Linked DNA regions of Drosophila melanogaster. The protein of the gene in region 1 interacts with the protein of each later gene in a pairwise test. Each region holds a gene or a part of one and is shown in the gene's direction. Other genes may lie near its edges.

Region 1 (5,217 bases):
TGCAGATCTATTCAAGTGGATAAGCCTTCAGCAGAAGCATTACCGGAGGCATATCCACACCATCCCATCGTACCAGCAACCCGCACCATCCCATTTCATCGTCATCGAAGTCCGAAGCCTACGCTACTCTTGTTATTGTTGTCGCCTGCAATCGAAACACGAAAATGTGTCACATAAAAATGTTGAGAATATTTATGTGCAAAAAAAATAAAATAAAAACAAAAAGAAATACCAAGAAGCCGTAAAGAAAAGAAAACATATGAATAAATAATAATTATAAATATTTGCCGCTTTTCTTTAAATATTTACTCGAGATGATTGGGCGCCAAAAATAGATTGGCTACGTAATCGAGGTATATTTTCGTACCTACAGTTATTGATTACAGTGCGGTTCAGCACTGTAACACCACAATTGGCATCTGCTAAGCTCGGCAGTTGCTGTGCTAAAGAGTTTAACATTTTAGTTTATTCCAAGCTGCCAGTTTAGATCATAATTTAAATAACTATCTGCAATTCTTAGAAAATTATTCTGCGTGCGTTCTAATAAATTTATGTTAGATATATTCATAAGAATCATGACAATTTGAAAACTATAAACAGTTTATTTAAAAAAACCTTCCAGAGATATGGACATTATTTGATAGGAAAAACTGTGGAATTCGGAAAATATGTTCATAAAAGAAGAGTTTATCCCATTTATTAACAGATCTAAAACAGGAAGTAGTTCAATTACGAGAGGAATATTATTAATTGAAACATTATTGGATTGATCGAATAAAAGCCGGTCATAAGATTTAATTTTTTAAATCCCTCTAAATGAGTGAGCCCGGCTGTATGTAATTAAGTTAATCTCTCCGACGGCCCTAAACATAACATAATCGTGCCAAGGTTCCTCGGGAGCTTGCAGTCTGCATGGAAAATGGAGATGGATGTGTTGGCTGGGCATCAGAAGTCACTCAGCCAGTGGCCGCCCCCCGATGATCCCGATGATTAATTGCAGCCAGAACTGCAGACGACGACCACGACGACGACGAGGAGGAGGAGACATCGTTGGCACGCGCAATCCGTGGAATTTGCGGAATTTGTGGCGAGCGCATTTAAGGCGCCCAGTGTTTAATTATGCATGCGGTCCCAGAACTTGGAGATAAATTAAGGCAGCGGACTTTGATGCATGGCTCCTGCTCCCGGCTCCCTGCTCTCTGTCGCCTGCTGCCTGCTGCCTGATCCCATCCCCGCCAGAGTTTTGGAATCGCTCTGGCGCCAGTGGAAAATTTTCACTTGGCCCAATCTCAATTGGGCTGCGCAGATCCTTAAACAAGCCGGTTCCATTCAAACACTGCCAACGATCCTATCAGATACGATACGTTCCGATATGATACGATCCAAAAAGTCATAATTAAAAACATAGCTTGAGAGCGAGCGAGGCGAGTGCCAGATGTGTGTCTATGTAAAAGGACAATTTGATGGGAGTGCGTAGAGCAAGAGCAGCACATATGTAAGTACCAACATGTGTCCACGATAATATAATGATGCCCCATACATAGAACTGGGTTCCGAAGAAGATCCCAGCGGCAACATGGGCAAGCAAGTAGCATGTAGCAAGTAGCAACAAACATCAGCACTCGATGGGGGCACAAACACATCGCACATCGCGATCGGGATTGAGTTGCAGATATAGATGGAGATTGATGCCTGGCGCCGACAGAACATGTAATTGAGTGTCGTGGACAATTATAGCCGCATCTCAAGTCCCCAATTGGCCAAAAAGCCGCTCGAGCATCTCGCCGGAGCGCCAAGAGATCGGAGAGAGAGTAAAACCAGCAGCAGCAGCAGCAATACATATCGCACCGCAGCAGCAACAGCGCTGCCGGCAGCAGCAACAGCAGTAGGCAGCAGCAGCAGCAGCAGCAGCAGCAGCTAGCAGCAGCACATACGAATCCTCAACGTTAGCATTTCCACTCCCAGTCGCAAAGAGACCGCCCTGCAATCTAGACGTGATCAGCAGCCCATCAATAAAAAAAAATACAATAGAGATATACTCGCGGTGTTCGACAAACAAACAGGCAAATACAAAATTTTTTAGAAGATTAATTCCGAGCATCGGCGATCTATATACAAGCGGGTCAGAAGGTCTAGCAGATAGGAGGAGGCGGAGGAGTAGCAGCTCCAGCTCTAGCTCCAGTTCTCCATATCCCAGCCGTTAAGATTCGATACGATCGATACGATCGATCGATCGACCGAACTTAACCTTAAGTGCGGTGCGCGTGTGTTATTTGAAAGATCTTTCAAAAGTAGTGACAGTGCGGCTTTGAAATCCGATGCCAGCGGTTCAGAGAATCAACGAAATCCTGCTGGAAAACCGAGCTGCCATGGAAACCCCCGCACGCACGCATATGTGCGCCTAGTGGGTAATTTCCCGAGTCTTTCGTGTTTTCCGAGCTGCCTGCTCGAACAGTTGATAATCCGCCGTCCGAGCGAATGCAACGTGTCCTGGTCTCGAGCCGGAAAACCGTGATTTGTGAACTGTGAACCGAACTGTGAACTGAGATATCGTAGATAGCGAAAAAGTGTACATATACAAATATATTATTGCTCTGGCCAAAGAATTGTGAAATCGCATTCACCGAGTGACTGAGATCACTCTACGAAAATGACTTCCCTCGTGTACACCGTCTTTCACCTGGCCTCGCTGCAATGTTCCGTGCGTCCGGAGATCTCGCCCTGCACCTGCGAAACGGGCAAAGCCTGGAATCATGTGGAGCTCTCCTGCGAGAAGTTGGAATCCTTCAACGCCGTCGTGGACAGCCTGGCCAATAAGCTCAATGCCGACACCAATATCGACCTAAAGATCACGCACTCGCAACTCGACGACCTGGAAATGCGCTCGTTTACGGATATGAACTTCAACTTGTACAAGCTACGGATGCAGTGGAACAGTCTAAAGTGAGTTGAGTCATCGATTCGGTTTGCAATTTTGGAGAGCAGGAGCCAAATAGCTCTATAAGGGGTTTCCCAGCTGTGGTGTAGATTCTATACAAATTCCTTTGCTGAATCACTAGATTTTTAGAAACTGACTAAAAAGTCGCTACTTTACATTTGCCAAGTATAGATAGATTCCATATATTGCTCACAAGAGGAACACTCCTTTTCATATAGCATACATTTATGTAAGTACAGTACAGATATATCGTTGGTAGCGTGTGCCAATTTGTGTAGATCGAGGTATAATGATGTATTGGGGAAATTTTCCTGCTATAGATTCAATCAAAATTTCTTTACTGTGGCGGGGAGTTCAAGGCCAACAGCCAAGTTCCGCAGAAAGGCAGAATTTTCCGCTCGGCCGGCTATCAATTTAGGTTCCTTAAACCCAATAAAAACCGAGAGAAAAATAATAATGCAAAATGTACACAAATTTCAATACGCTTATGTAAATGCACGAAAAAATGTGCTCCACAGATCGGTTCGGGTGGCCAGATCTTGTTTACAGCCATATACATACTACATAGATACTAAAACAATAACAATGTCGTTTGTTTACGTCAAAGAGCCCAGTGCCGCCTCATTATCTATGGCTCAATTGGGCAAATTGCGAAGGAGATGGATGGATGTGGTTGGAGATGGTGCAGTCGCATCTTAATTGCCGCCCAGATGATTTAATTTTTCAATTAGGAAGTAGCATTGAATTGCCGCTAATTCCCAACTATGGGATGTGCTGCCGTAGCTTGAGTCTCGTCGTCTTCTTCTTCTACTACATCTTCTTCTTGTTCAATTGATAACTGATAACGCTTATCACCTACGAAGTATTTATATAGGATTCCGCCTATGTACTTAGCCGTATGGCTGACTGGAGGTATACGACGTATACTTAATGCGTACACAAAATTGATAATTGCAGTTTGTTGAAGGCGTCTTTTCAACGGCGCCTGCACGTTTTCCGACTCTGACTCTCAATGAATTTCAATTCACTGTCGCATTGTGTTTTATATGTACACATATTGACAATTATAATTAATGCATATAAATAAATGCTGTCGATCCACTGATCTGCACTTGCGAATATAGAAATAACATTCGAGCCTATTTCATAAGCGCCTGTCGCGGGTTCATTGATATTTGACTCCGTTGTTTTACAGCCACGATTTTACATTCGCGATTCAAAACAAAATATGACTCAGGGGATTCTTTGTGCCCAAAGCCCCAAAAAAAATGTTTTCGAAAACTGAATTCAATCACAAGGACAAGCGTTTGTTTAATTTATCAATAGCTTCATTCAACTGTATCTTTGTGTTAGCCGAATTGAAATATCTCTTTGTTACAATCCATAGTACTAGACTCATTCATGTTTATATTCCAAAAAAAAAAAAAAAAACGCTTATCTTTATTGTTTTTGGGAATCTATTAAAAATTTAATAGCGACTGTGTGGGATGAAACTGGGTTTAGGCGTACATTCGGGAACACGTTTTAGTAATATAGCACAAATCATCGAAAGTATTTGGAGTAACAAAGTGCGAAAGCTCCACCAATCAACCGATGGCGACCTTTTAGTTCTGGGAAAATCCATTCCTTGAATCAGTTTTCTGAAATCATGGCAATTGCCCGGCGACTACCCCCACGATTAAACTATTCGATTTATCATTCTCCGAATGCAATTTGCGTGTTTGCATGGAAGTCGGCATGATTTAATTAGCCGACTTGATCGAATCAGTGTTATGCACCATCTCCCCAATCGGCGATCTCCCCCAGAATCCAGCTACCAAGCATCCAACATCCAGCATCGAGAATCCAGCGGAGAGCGCGTGCCTCTGGTGGCAATGCCTTCGATTCTGGCTGCTCGGGGAACGCTTTTTACATTGATGTCAATTTATAACAATTGACCTATTGCCTTAATATCGTGCTTTGACCAAATCATGCCAGCCAGCCAGGAAAAGTATCGCCAGCACACATGTGTGTATTCGTATGCACTGCGAGAAATTGGGCGGGCTTATCTTTCTGACAAGAAACATTTTTAATATTGGGTATACAAGTTATGCATTTTAAATACTTCAAGGGTAAAAATAATTATTATTATAATTATAAAGCCATTTCTATTAATCAGTTAAAATCATTTATTTCCTGTGTGGCGCCATCATGAAATCTCAATTTTTTTTAAATACTAATATGCATGAAATTCCCAAGAAATTTTAATTTCTGCCACTCAGCTTTTTTGGTGTTTCCAA
Region 2 (5,842 bases), on another chromosome or scaffold:
GCTGTGACCATTTACACGGCTAGCTCCACCCAAATTGGTTTTCCATACCGTCCAAAGACCAACGTTCAGCGACTTCCCTACCTGGTTGGTAAACCTAACTACTTTTAAAGATCAAATAATGAAGTTATTTTCGTTTCACAGCATGTACGACGAATCTTCTACGAATACGATGGCACAGTTGTGAAGAATGACTCCGGCTATCTGTTCAACTTCCAGGATCGTCGGGGACCAGCACCCCTGAAACTGTCCAAGTTGAATACGACTGGATTGGTCAGCATTGCTGCGGACTGTGATACGGTTATGATGTGCGGATTTCCTCTATATGATCACCGATGGGTTAAGAATCGTCTGCAGATAATGTGGCTGCCAAGAGAAGAGGAAATCATTACGCCATATGAGCCGAAACTTGAGCTATTGTCCAAAACGGAACTGGGAAACAATACACTGCGCATGAATTTCCAATCAGCGACTACGGATCATGCCAGTGTGTTTATCCAGCCACTTGAAGATGTTATCATTTCCAACTGGAGCCTGCCCACGAGTTACATTGGCCAGCAGGATACCTCCCATATGTACTTCTCATATGGCAAGAACAACACGGCATTGACTTTCTTTATTGACTTTTATGTGAGTGTCAGATGAATGCACATGCGAAATACTTTGAAATAATCTTTGCTTATTATTCATAGAAACTGGATGCCGACTTTGCCGTACCCTTGTGTCAGATCGGATTGGCTGTCCATTTTATTGGCAACAAAGGCGATGCAATCAGTCAGGAGTTTGCCAAGAAGATACCATCATTTGCCGCTGCAGTGGATTGGCCAGCTTCCTACCAACGTTACATTTTCTAAGGACTTCGATCTCGATCGCGAAAATAATTATTTTAAACACAAGTCGAACAATAAAATGAACTGCTAAACATTGAATAATAACTTTAGTATCTTTAAATCTTATATACGGGTGGTCTACATGTGAAATTCAGATTTATTATTCATAAATTAAGCTTACGAGCAAGATCAATTTCTAGATCCCTAAAGCCGGCTTATATATATGTGTATGGAGTTCAGATATTCTCAAAGCCATCTTTTTATGTACCATATTTTCCATTTTCGACATTGTTGAACTTAATTGAAATTGAAATATTGCAAAAACTAGTTCTTATACACGTTTTCTTATCAGCCGTGAAACACAAAAAACGTTACATATTAATTTTAAGGATATTTTAAGACAGTGATATAATGCAAATTTTACAGCTTAAATATATAGCATAAAGAATATGTATTTTACTACCAAACGCGTGTTCCATATAAAAATTTATGAACCCATAAAATAAGTGTTGATAATTGATTGATACCAGCAATTAAGTGAATCGATTTCTTTTGGTAACAACTTAAGGTGCGTTGCCCTGGTCCTGAGTACAAACCATATCTAATCACCAAGATCTGTGTGAGAAATCGAAATTCGCTTAAGTTGCCAGATAGTCATATCTTTTAATGGTTATTATGCACATTAAAATCCGTAGACTATTCAAGAGCAATTTCAATTTTCAAAAAAGAGGTGGGTTTGAAAAATAAGTAAGACATGATGATTTGGCTTTGAATCAATAAAATGAAATACGAAGGAAATATTTTAAAAAGACAAGCCAAGTTAATCGACTAGCTAAAAATTGTAAAAATTCTTTGGAAAAGGAATAAATTAACCATACAATTTAACTCTATTATAGGTTTTATGGGTTTTATTACTTAAAAAGTATTGATTCTACTTTAGCGACTCTCGCAATGCTTATATTTTGTGTTTATTTGTGCTATAAAATTTCAAGATATGATTACGAAGTTTTGATAATTTTTTGGGATATAAAAGCGTTTAGCATAGAAATCAAGTCAGTCTAGTTTTGACTCCCATATTAAAGGTCTGCAAATCGACAAAATGGGTGACAAGGAAAAACTTGTAAGTATACAATTAGCTTCCGAATTATATATATTTCTATACTATTATCTCTAAATAATTAAGTAGCTAAGTAAGTAACTTTGGACTGATTTTTTGCTTAGATTTTAGACGATCATGTCGAAGAAGGAGTCAAATCATACTCCAGGAAACATGGAAGAAAACACAGAGTGTACTTTCAACTACCCTGGTACTTTGCTGGAGGCATTGTCCTGTTCTGGGCACTGCTCTTCATTGCCGTGGTTAAACCACTTTTTTACCGACTTCCCGAACCGCTGACTGTCGAGGATGCCTCCAAAGGAGGATTCATTGCCGAAAGGGCACAGGCCAATCTCTATGATTTCGAGGCTATCGGCACTAAAGTGGTTGGAAGTGATGAAAACGAGCACAAGACCGTACAGTTCCTGCTAAAGGAATTAAATCTGATAAAGGATAATATTCAAGAGGATCTATTTGATATGGAAATTGATTTGCAGTATGCCTACGGTGCGTATGTAAAATGGAATCTGGTCAACATGTACCAAGGCATTCAGAACGTGGTGGTTAAGCTCACGCCCAAGGGCACCACAAGTGAAAACTACATCCTGGTGAACAGCCACTTCGACTCTCAGCCAACTAGTCCCTCCACCGGGGACGATGGTCACATGGTGGTCTCCATATTGGAGGTGCTTCGAGTGATTTCATCGAGGAGAAAATCATTCGAGCATCCCATTATCTTTTTGATCAACGGATCCGAGGAAAATTCGCTGCAGGCATCTCACGGATTCATTGCCTACCACAAATGGGCTAAGAATTGCAAGTAAGTTCAAGGAGCAATAAGATATAATGTTTATAGAACTTATAAAAAATATTTCCTACAAGGGCGGTCATTAATCTGGATGCAGCTGGCAGTGGTGGTCGCGAACTAATGTTCCAATCTGGCCCAAATAATCCATGGTTGGTTAAGGTAATAAATCCTCTAGTTACTTAAGAAACTATCTATATATCTAGCTGTTTCATGTGATATCTTGCAGATATATAAGGATGGCGCCAAGCATTATTTCTCCACCACCATGGCTGAGGAAATCTTCCAAACGGGACTTGTTCCATCTTACACTGATTTCGATATTTTCGTTGAATACGGAAACCTTATTGGTAAGCTAAGCTAATTACTAATTTTTCGGTTGTATATAACTAGGTAAACTTAAATGCTAGGTCTGGACATTGGCCAGTGCATCAATGGATTCGTCTATCATACCAAGTATGATCGCATCGATGTGATTCCACGGGCAGCTCTGCAGAACACAGGAGACAATCTTCTCGGTTTGGTTCAAACTCTGTCCAATGCCAGCGAACTGCGCGATCTCAGCGTAGGTGCCAGTGTTTTATGTAAAATAACTCTTGGTTAATTATGTAATTCTTCTGAAAACAGGCGAATCCGACTGGCAACACCATCTTTTTCGATGTCCTGGGATTGTATCTGATCAGCTATTCCGCCGATGTCGGTGTAAAGCTAAATTATGCCGTGGCTGCCGCAGCAATAATCCTGATCTATATCTCCTTGCTTCGCATAGCGGAAAAATCAAGTGTCAGCTCCGAACAGATCCTGAGCACCTTCATCTTAGTTCTTGTGGTCCAGCTGATCGCCTTTGTCTTGGCATTGGCCCTGCCCCTTTTGGTGGCCTATGGCCTGGACAAATACGGCTTATCGCTTAGCTACTTCGCCACTCCATCGCTCCTGATTGGATTGTACATATGTCCCAGTCTTCTGGGCCTTACTCTGCCCAGCTATATCTATCTGAAGTTGGCGAATACCGTAAGTTCATGGTATGGTTCATGATACTTTGGGATAGTAATGTTGCATATCTAAATAGGAGAAGGTATCCTTTGCCCAACAAGTTCAACTGGCACTCCATGGACACGCCGCAGTGCTTTCCATCCTCTGCATTGCCATCAATTATTATGGATTGCGCACCACCTATGTCATTACATGGACGCTGGCATTCTACGTAATACCATTGGCCTTCAATCTTCTTACCACACTGCATGATCGTGGCTATTCCTGGACAGGTATATTGAAGATTGTCCAGGTTGCTCCGTTCATGTATAACAGCTACCTCTTCTACTGTTTCATTGTGATACTCACGCCAATGATGGGTCGTTTTGGAGTGTAAGTAAAAAGAAATGGTTCATAGATCAAATCTCTAGACACTTTTTTGTATGACATTTTAGGGACACCAATCCTGACTTGATCATTGGAGCTTTAACTGCCCTGGGAACCATATTGTCCATGGGATTTTTGGTAAGAATATTTACTGCTTAAGTTTTTTAAGTAAACATAAAGTATCAAACTATCCCTAGATTTTACTGGTCAATATGTCCCGCCGATCCGGATTCGTTCTCATCGGTCTATTGGCCGTAACTGCCGCCGGTGTATACATTGCCAGCTCCACCGACATTGGATTCCCCTACCGCCCCAAAACCAACGTACAGCGTGTGCCCTACCTGGTTAGTTATAAACCTTTATGTCTGCATAAAGATACTGATAACTATTACTTACAACATGATCGTTTTCAGCAAGTGCGCCGCATTTTCTACGAGTATGATGGAACAGTGAGCAAGGATGAGAGTGGATATCTGTTCAACTTACAGGATCGTCGCGGACTTACTCCGTTGCTGGAGTCCAATGTGGATCTCACTGGTCTGGTCAACATGACATCCGATTGTGCCAAGTACATGATGTGCGGCATGCCGCTGTACGATCACCGATGGGTGGAGGCTATGGAAACTACCATGTGGCTGCCGCGAAAGAATCCCGTTTGGACACCAGCTGAACCGATTCTAAAGCAACTTAACAAAACTGTTCTGGCGGATGGCCAGACTGTTCAATTCGAGTTTGAACTAACGACCTCGGATCACACCAGCATTTTCATTTCTCCCAACGAGGATGTGATCATCTCCAATTGGTCGTTCCTCAAGGAATACCTAACAACCAATTCACCTCCGTACCACATCTACTACTCCTTTGGTATCGATAATACTCCACTGCGCTTCCACATCGAGCTTAAGGTATGCGAGTATCACATTATCTATTAATTCTATATTTCATTTGTATTTATTTCAACAGAAAGCCGATGGCGTCTACACTGTCCCACTTTTCCAGATGGGAATCGGGGCGCACTACATGCACGTGAAAGGCGATGATGAGTCCATCAGGCTTGCCAATTCCCTGCCCGACTATGCTGTCAGTATTCAGTGGCCAGCTATGTATAAGAAGTACATATTTTAATTATATTCAATAATTAAATGAAACTCATGAAATCGTTTCTTGTATATATTAATAAAAATGTGTTGAAAAAACCCCTTTTCTCAACTCTGATTATATATTAGATACATACATAAATATTAATCAGCATTAATTTAAGTCTCACCTATGCTTTGTGCTCACACACATGAAGAAATTAAAGTGGGTGGTTCCCAATTTTTAAGTGCCATAAAAACATTTAGTTAGTTCATCAAGAATTATAGCACCTCATAAACGGCCTTTAACGCCACTCAGGCGGTTAGCCATATAATCAGTAACAGCAATTTGGTTGCGGTGGGTCTGAAATCATAAAGATTCCTTATCGGTTTCAAAAAAAAAAAGGCGTGAGAAACTGTCGCAGATATAGGTATCAATTAAATTTGTTAATGCACTATGATCCAACGTCGATGGTTTAATTAGTTTCAATTATTTCAATTTAAATTTAAAAGCATAAAAAAGCGTTAAAATAAATTAAATTAAAATAAATTTAAAATTTCTTGTTATAAATATTTAGGTAATATTTCATTTATGGAAAATTCAACGACAAATTTTAAAGAGTAATATTGCTTGTTGTTCAAGTGGAAAGCTAATGCTTCAGTAAATCCATCATCTTAT

The links. Proteins that work in one complex are often made in the same cells at the same time.
Region 2: the proteins of ltl (region 1) and CG10081 interact in a two-hybrid assay, tested with the Drosophila melanogaster proteins (one large-scale study listed by BioGRID).

Annotation. Positions count from the first base shown.
Region 1 is NT_037436.4:7,517,035-7,522,251, forward strand, and holds the start of ltl (larval translucida), read left to right. Parts: upstream 1-1,962; 5' UTR 1,963-2,650; coding exon 2,651-2,943; intron 2,944-5,217.
Region 2 is NT_033778.4:19,384,042-19,389,883, forward strand, and holds CG10081 (uncharacterized protein), read left to right. Parts: upstream 1-1,881; 5' UTR 1,882-1,926; coding exon 1,927-1,947; intron 1,948-2,048; coding exon 2,049-2,743; intron 2,744-2,805; coding exon 2,806-2,890; intron 2,891-2,957; coding exon 2,958-3,078; intron 3,079-3,138; coding exon 3,139-3,293; intron 3,294-3,355; coding exon 3,356-3,739; intron 3,740-3,797; coding exon 3,798-4,093; intron 4,094-4,155; coding exon 4,156-4,225; intron 4,226-4,284; coding exon 4,285-4,431; intron 4,432-4,500; coding exon 4,501-4,992; intron 4,993-5,050; coding exon 5,051-5,212; 3' UTR 5,213-5,277; downstream 5,278-5,842. Other genes in the region: CG10073 (uncharacterized protein), read left to right, coding at 1-84, 142-627, 690-851.